Linked DNA regions of Daphnia pulex. The protein of the gene in region 1 purifies or fractionates together with the protein of each later gene. This does not show direct contact. Links are inferred from orthologs where the notes say so. Each region holds a gene or a part of one and is shown on either strand. Other genes may lie near its edges.

Region 1 (4,225 bases):
CCAAGCACCACCAACTATATTAGTTATAGCGTATATATATTCGTTTGAGTGTAAAAATAAGTTTATGGGCTGTGGTATAAATACATAGGACCTATATAAGACTATTTCCGGTTCTTATAGGTTATAATATATTTTATCCTAAGACGATTATTTCTTTTCTTTTTTATTGCAAGATGAATTAATAAAGGAAAAGAAAAATGATTTTGTTGTTGTTGTTGTGTTCGCTTGGGTGATGTTCCTGATGAACGACCCTATGCTGTATTATAGAGCAGGATATACAGCCTGTATATCCTACGTATATACACCGGATGCAAACAAAGAGCCTTAGTTTCGTTTTCCGGAGAAAAACTGGCCTGTATAGTCATCAGTCTAATGGTAAATAAAAAAAATTGACTAAACCCGTTTCAAAAGTTATATATTCTACAAATGCGTTAGTATCTGCCACTTGAACGTGTTTTGACGTCAGACGTACAAATAAGAATTGTTAAATACTCTTTCTCGCTTTCCCTGTTACTAATTTCGTTGCCAACGACAACTGCGCTCGTAAATCCTCCCGTTGCCGGCAACATTAAAGTGAGTAACAACACAAACTTGACTTTTTATACATTTATTTTCTTGTGTGCACAGCAGAGACCCCTTTGTTATTCTATTCACGTTCGCATGGCCACTGATGTCCTCGTCCCATATTGACGCACAACAGAATTCCCGCTAACTGTGTTTAAGGCGGTCGCGTCGATCAATGGGAAGCACAATGGTTTTAAAACAATCGAAGAAATGTTGACGAGAATATAAGAGTTATACACTTTAACTTTAACTGCAACTAACTTTTTATACGGTTATAATAACAACATAAGTATTACCTAACATCCTTGCGACCCACCCCGACGACGATTTAGGAAAAACAACAATAAAATGTAGGCCTAATGTGAAAAAAAACCTATAGGAAGTTGCCAATTTGCTTGAAGCTGATGGACTTTGGTACGGATCTAGCGGCCATTCACAGCAGTTCCGGAATGCCGGATGCGTGGCTCCTGCTGACGGTCATTCAGGAAATGATCAGTTTAGCGATTAAACGGGTTTCTATACTTTCGTCACGGGATGAGGCTATACTACATCTATAGGCCCATAACCATAATAACATCACGCGATGGTCGGTATATTGCCCCAAGAAAATGGAGAAAGCTGTACCGGTCATTTGAAAGCGTTTTCTCGAAATTATATTTTAGATCATTTAGATATACGTATAGGCCTAAATATGTTCTTTGTATATAAATAAATAAGTAGTGCAAGCAAATGCCAAGATCGAATCATATGCCGTCACCAAGAACGATGTTTTCAGCAGTTGTTTTCAATTTTTGAAATCAATATTTAATCTTACCGCTAGATGTCTCTATCCTCTTAAGTTTTTCTTTCTTTTCTTCAAGAAATCCTTTTCCTTATTCTTATGATGCTTACCCTGCCGCCGACCCGCCATAGTTCTGTAGATTTCTTTTTTGGAGGTGCCCGTGAGAAGTTTTGCAAAATGGCTGACATATTAGAAACATACAAAAAATATCAGAGTTGTTTATTATGGGTTCTGGTGTTGACTTCAAATATCAGATGCGGTAGGACACGTTTGCAAATTTTTTAAAAGAATGGAAAAATGTTTTTTTTTGTCTATTGAAATATTTAGAACTACCAATGTTTTTATTTGTCTCTTCAGGATATGGTCTCACATGCTATTGTCAAGGGCATTGTCCTAATGACAATTTTAATGGCACATGTGAAGCTAGACCTTTCAGCCAGTGCTTTGCTGCGGTGGAAGAGGTATACAATCCTGACACAGGTTTGCCAGAACCTGAATACACTTATGGCTGTTTGCCGCCAGAAGAAAAAGGTCTCATGCAAGTATGTTCTTGCATTTTATTTGACCAACGAATTTCACTTACAGTTTTCTCATGAATTTGATTACAGTGCAAAGGCCACCTTGTTCCTCATTTAGTACCCAAATCAATACAATGTTGTTACCAGTCTGACCATTGCAACAGATTGCTATCTCCTATGTATGAAATACGCAGTACTACACCTGATCCCAATTCAGGGTTGGGGTCTGATGAAAATGTTCACTATTTGGCCTTACTAGTTTCAGTCACAGCCAGTGTGATCATTCTGTTTGTTATGGTTGTTTGTGTCTATCTGCAGTAAGTTGTTTTGCTTAATCTAATGTTCTGAAAAATTATCAAGTTTAAATATTATTACTTTACAGTTACAAAAAGAAAGAGGATAAAAGACAAGTTTCCATTATCAAAGCTCCTTGTGTACCATACCTTGGAGGAAATTCAACAATCAAGGACATGGTGGACCATAGCCAGAGTTCTGGTTCTGGTTCTGGTTTACCTTTACTTGTAAGAAATTGTGATCTAATTTATCAATTTAATAATAAGCTAAAACCATGTTGTTTTTGTTTTTTTAATTAGGTTCAAAGAACAATAGCCAAGCAGTTAGTTATGGGCCATTCCATAGGTAAAGGCCGATATGGTGAAGTTTGGATGGCCAAATGGAGGGAAGAAAAGGTTGCTGTCAAGGTGTTTTTCACAACTGAAGAAGCTTCTTGGTTTAGAGAAACAGACATTTATCAGACTGTACTCATGAGACATTCACACATTCTTGGTACAGTTTTTAAATATATTTTTATTTGGTACCCTTTAAATTAATTATGAATTTAAAACAAAAACTTTAGGTTTCATTGCTGCTGATATCAAAGGAACAGGCTCCTGGACACAGATGCTACTCATTACCGACTATCATGAACTTGGATCTTTACACGATTTTCTTCAACAATATTCTCCTGACGGAGTAGCAGCTGGAAGGTTAGCATTTACTGCCGCTAGCGGATTGGCTCATTTGCACACGGAAATCTTTGGTACCAGAGGAAAACCGGCCATTGCTCACAGAGATATTAAGAGTAAGAATATCTTGGTGAAAAGAGATTGGACATGTGCCATTGCTGATTTTGGTTTGGCTGTCAGATATATAAGGTACGAATTCAACAGCCAAATAAGCGAACAACCGAGTAATCCTCATGCTTTTTCTTTTATTATTATTTAGCGAATCCCAAGAGATCGATATTGCACCAAATACCCGTGTCGGAACTCGTCGCTACATGGCTCCTGAAGTGTTAGACGAAAGCTTAAACAAATTTTCTTTCGAGGCCTTTAAGACAGCTGATATTTATTCGTTCGGTCTTGTTTTGTGGGAGATTGCTCGTCGATGTAACACGGCCTCAAGCACAGTTAGCGAAATCATAACAGACGAGAGCCAAGAGAAATTGGTCACCTATGGCCCCGATGACTACCAACAACCGTACTATGATTGCGTTCCTTCTGATCCATCTTTCGATGACATGTACAACGTGGTGTGTGTCAAGAAAGTGCGACCGGATATCCAACCGCACTGGCTCACCGAGGAGGTAAGCCTAAAATCATAATCTACTATACTTTTATATTCCTAATTATATTTTTTATTTGTGCCCTTAAGCCCCTGAAAACTTTAGCTCAAGTGATGCAAGAGTGTTGGCATCAAAATCCGGCCGCCCGATTGACGGCTTTACGCGTTAAAAAATCTCTTACTCGCATCAACGACGAATCTGACATGTACATGTACATCGAAAAGTATAACGACAAAGAAATGCTACCATCCGTTTAATTCACTGTTGTAACATTGCAAGTCTTTGAATCTGAAGTTTGACCAAGGTGTTCTTAAAATTACTGAAATTTTTCTTAGTGCGTTCTTTTGACAAGTGTTTGTTTGTAAATAATTTGCGCGTGAAAGGGTTTTCTGAATGTGAATCGTTTGTCGTTTCGTTTTGATATTGCTCCACTGCAACTGCCGTGCCATTAATAATTGTTGCCTCAAGCCTTAAAACGGATTCAAACAAAACTGTTGGGTGTCTTAATTAACTAAAACAATCGTCTCCCTTTGCTCATGTTATTACTCTTCCATTGCTTCCAGGAATCGTTTTATTCTCTTTTAACGTGTAAATACAATGAATTGAATCAGCGGTTTTTAATAATGATTTTTTTTTTTCATGACCGTTTAATTCAAATTTTCACAAACTTGTCGATTCAATGTAATTTTTCTCTTGCAAATATTATTGTCGTTGCTGAGGAGTGAAACCAAATGATCTATACATACCTTGCCAGTATACATTAAGAATGAATCAATGAAACCTTGAATGAGTTGAATC
Region 2 (4,032 bases), on another chromosome or scaffold:
AAAGCTCTTCTCGGTGGACTATTCCAATTCGGGAAAAAAAAATGAACACATAAAACCTAATAAGATTTCGTCATTTATTAATAAAATGGTACGAGTACATAGTTAAAGAACAATTTTGAACGTCAAAGCACATAATGAATCTCTACCATTATCAAAGAATTGTCATTCACCCTCATGAAAAATCAATCAGCAAGAATGTTGTTTTAAAATTGATGTTTCCCTTTTTAAGTGGTTGGATCCCACACTTCGAATTTTCTTCAAATCCAAATGAGCAAACTCGGAGAATATGGCACATAATGTTATAATGGTGTCCCTATCCGAATAGATGAAAAACACGAAAACTTGTCGCTAAAGGAAGTTAACATAAAAAAGCAGCATCCCTTCAGTTTACATTAAAGGGAGGTGAAAGCAAAATTTACTCACAATTTAATATTGATGTGTGAATTGTTCAACAGTGAAAAATAGACTATCGGCATTGAAATATATCCGCAACAAGGCTGCCACATATCTACGTTCGTCTCACACTGACGCAGCCTTGCTTATTACCGTAGATTGTCGTTGATAAACAAAATAATTCCCATGATAAAACACGATGCAGGTTGAAAGCCTTATGAGACAGATGAAATAGGATTGTGCGGTGAGCCCATTTGAGTGAGAACTTTATCCAGCCATTGCAATGGTCCATGAAGATGAATTTCTATCCAGCATGGCGTACTTGTAACATCTTGACGGTGATATTCGGCACCCCACCCTTTGACGAACGACATCCTGAAAGGTGACAATTCATAACATGTCGATGAATGAAATACAATTTAGCGATTGTGTGCTAATAGCTACCTTATTGTGCACATTTTGGTGAGCTCATAGACTGCTTCAAAACCATGATTGACTGATTGTGACAGAAGCTGAGCAAATTCCTGGTTGTTGAATATTTTAAGGGAACATCCAGGAGGAATCTTGCATACAGTTGTGGGATGAAATCCATGATGGTGATTGCAATTACGTGACTGAACAAATATAGCAGAGTCGGATAGACATTCGGCATAAACTTCACCTCCAACGTAATACAAGTGAACACCTAATTGGAATAAAATTTATTATTATCACAGTGAAACATGGTAAATAAAGCTAGATGCTAGATACAACCTTTGCCAATATGACGGCGCGTATTTTCGATGGTTGAGTTACGATTGACATTCGAGAGTTGACCAAGACAGAAACGATCAGATTTGTTATCAGGATTTGTAAATCCATCAACAATTATTGAATGAGATTGGGCGTGGAATACTTCGCCAACTCGAGAGTTCAATTCATAATAAGCAATGCTGCACCAATATATGGGTTCTTGGTAAGCCACAGGAGCAAGGTCTCCCACTGGTCCCTGTGTTGTATCCATGGGTTCCTGGGATGAAGCATTTTCATCATGGGGACTGTAGGCTGGTGGTGGAGTTTCAGCTAAATCAAATGAAAATACACATACAAATTAATACATGCAAAAGATTCTAGTGTTGGACAAAAATGATTTAATGAATGTTTCCTCTGACCTGGTAAACTGTTGTAAGGGCTGTTTGGGGCAGGACTTGAAACATTGCTCATGGGCGACGTAGGATTGGGACTAACAGAAAGGGTACTTAATGCACTTGTCACAGGCCTCTCCATACTTTTAGTGCTTGAAGGTCCAGGTGCTTGAGTTAAGCCAACAGATTGGTTTCCAAAACCATGAGCTGAGTAAGAGACATTATGAGGCATTGCTGGTTCAGGTAGCTGTTGAAAAGGTAAAAGTGAATGTCCGGGAGCAAATTCTGAATGTCTTGGCACAAGAACAGGTGGAAGCACTGGACTTTCAACTCTTTTGTAATGATAAGGATTAATGCAAACTTCCTTTTGCTTAGAGGAAAATGGATATTCACAGATTTCTAAGGGTTTTAATTCATGATGAGATTGCAAATCAGGCCAACGCCACACACGGCAGTAGATCACATGAGGCAAACCTTTCCTGTGTGAAACCTGGAACACAATTGAGAAACATGTAACTTTTTACAATTAAAATAGCTAGAGGATGAAGAACAAATGACAAAAAGTCAGTAGATGCAAAATTTTAAGATAGCATCAAGTACTCTTTACCTGTAATCTACCATCTAAACTTCTTGGAATAGTAACACATTTACTCGGTTGTCCAGGACAACTAAGTGCTTTCTCCAACTCTTCTATGGCACCCTTCTTCTTTTTCAATTTTTTTACCAAGGAGTCAACAGCTTTTTCAGCCCATTTTTCTTCTTCATCTCCTTGTTTCCAACCAAGCAACTTTTTCACTGCTGGGCTTGTAAATGAGAAAAGGCTGTTAAGTGCAGACATCTTCTAATCTGAAATTGTAAAAAAATAAGTCATCAATCACATTAAATTTAAATTCTTTAAACCTCAATGAATCAGGATGTTCGAAGTTATTACTTGCCACTCTCCAAAATGATGTATAATTGACGCTAAATTGTTAATTGCAGGTGGTTCCAGAATCAACAGTTTACAACGTGTCAACGCCTCTCCAAATATCTGTTGAGCGCTTGCCCGCTTTTAACCTCAAGCTCTGCGCCTCTGCCTCAACCTCAAGTATACTGAAGCGAAGGCAACAATTTTAAAATGACAATCACAACAACGTATTCATACTAGTAACTGCGCGAATACTAAATTGATTTTTGTTCCAAATCTAGAAGAGATGCATTAAAAAGTTGGGAAATTTTTCATAAAGAATGGCATGACGCACTTCTGAAATTACATAAACGTAAAGTGTGGCATCGTAGCACAAAATTCGTTCGATTTTTGCTTTGATCGATTAACAACAAGAGACGTTTTTTTCTTGCTTTTTGCTTTGATAAAATGATGCTGATATAGGCCTAGTAACAACTGTTCTATACTCGATAAAAACCTAATTGCAAAAGCATTTGGAATTTTTAGTGCATTATGAACTGTATTTATAATCTTATAAAATAAAATAACGAGAGTTAAAAGACCAAAATCGATTATTTAATCGCGATAATATGTTACAACAAATTTTCAAAGTATTTTCTGGAATTTCAGATTCAGCAGCACAGGGAATCGAATGTTTTCTCAAGTCAAATTATTTAAAATATAATAAATTAAAATTAATTTATTGAGTAGTTAAGCCAAATCATTTATCTGTTCAGTCTTAATATCTTAATGGAGGTAATGGGGCTTAATTGTGTAACGACATAACGAGGGGCGGAAAAACAACAGACCCAAGAGTACCGTATTCAGTCTAGTGCTGTAACCACTAGCACAAATTATTTTCACAAAATAGCAAGGTTATGGGGAACATTCACGAAGCTCCAATTTTTAGTGACTATTAAATCTAACGTAACCCGTTATCCTTATCAGCCGCGCGCCGTTACGTATGAATCGCAAACAAAGATGCGTAAAAACCATTCCGAAGATTCAATATTTTCCCGTATGAAACGGCGAAACGCACAAGAAAAGCTACTCTACATATAGACATCCGCTAAATTACGATGTTCAAATCAACTGGGAAAATGATTAAAATCGTCCCTGTCGTTCAGCATTGATGGATTTATGGTCTAAACTTGAGATGGCTCACATTTTTTAAAAAAGAGTATAACAAAAAATAGAACTTGTTTTTAAAAAGTTGTTTTTTCCCGCGACCATTTTTAGCCAACTTTATTATTATAAACGTTTTCACTTTTCAGCCGAGCCGCCTCAATCACTTTTATCGAAATGTGAAATGTTAGTTCTGATCCTGAACCTGACTCCCTGAGACCCTGACTGAACATACTCGCTTGAGGCCTATTTATGCGTACAAAAAGTAAAAACAAGCAACCCTGCAGGCAGCAGGCTGCATGAAGTACTCCTGCAGTCCTGCATTCCGCACCCACACTTTATCCACTTCCCCTTATGTGTAGTCAGGTGTAGTGTCGTGGAGTCGTAAATTCGTGTATCGCAATAACAATCAAAGGAATAAAGGATTGCTTGACAAACGAACATTGCAAACTGGTTCATTTCACA

What was found. The genes of interacting proteins can lie anywhere in the genome.
Region 2: the proteins of bone morphogenetic protein receptor type-1B-like (region 1) and protein mothers against dpp-like purify together in Drosophila melanogaster (affinity purification with western blotting; 3 studies listed by BioGRID). This does not show direct contact. The link is inferred for Daphnia pulex from reciprocal best matches to the Drosophila melanogaster genes tkv and Mad.

What each region holds. Positions count from the first base shown.
Region 1 is NC_060020.1:1,950,213-1,954,437, forward strand, and holds bone morphogenetic protein receptor type-1B-like, read left to right. Parts: upstream 1-1,425; 5' UTR 1,426-1,444; coding exon 1,445-1,604; intron 1,605-1,702; coding exon 1,703-1,887; intron 1,888-1,953; coding exon 1,954-2,180; intron 2,181-2,245; coding exon 2,246-2,384; intron 2,385-2,456; coding exon 2,457-2,649; intron 2,650-2,719; coding exon 2,720-3,017; intron 3,018-3,087; coding exon 3,088-3,448; intron 3,449-3,516; coding exon 3,517-3,684; 3' UTR 3,685-4,039; downstream 4,040-4,225.
Region 2 is NC_060025.1:5,191,140-5,195,171, reverse strand, and holds protein mothers against dpp-like, read right to left. Parts: upstream 2,801-4,032; 5' UTR 2,449-2,800; exon of another isoform or gene 2,418-2,448; intron 2,364-2,417; 5' UTR 2,356-2,363; coding exon 2,125-2,355; intron 2,008-2,124; coding exon 1,545-2,007; intron 1,456-1,544; coding exon 1,147-1,455; intron 1,079-1,146; coding exon 838-1,078; intron 769-837; coding exon 609-768; 3' UTR 61-608; downstream 1-60.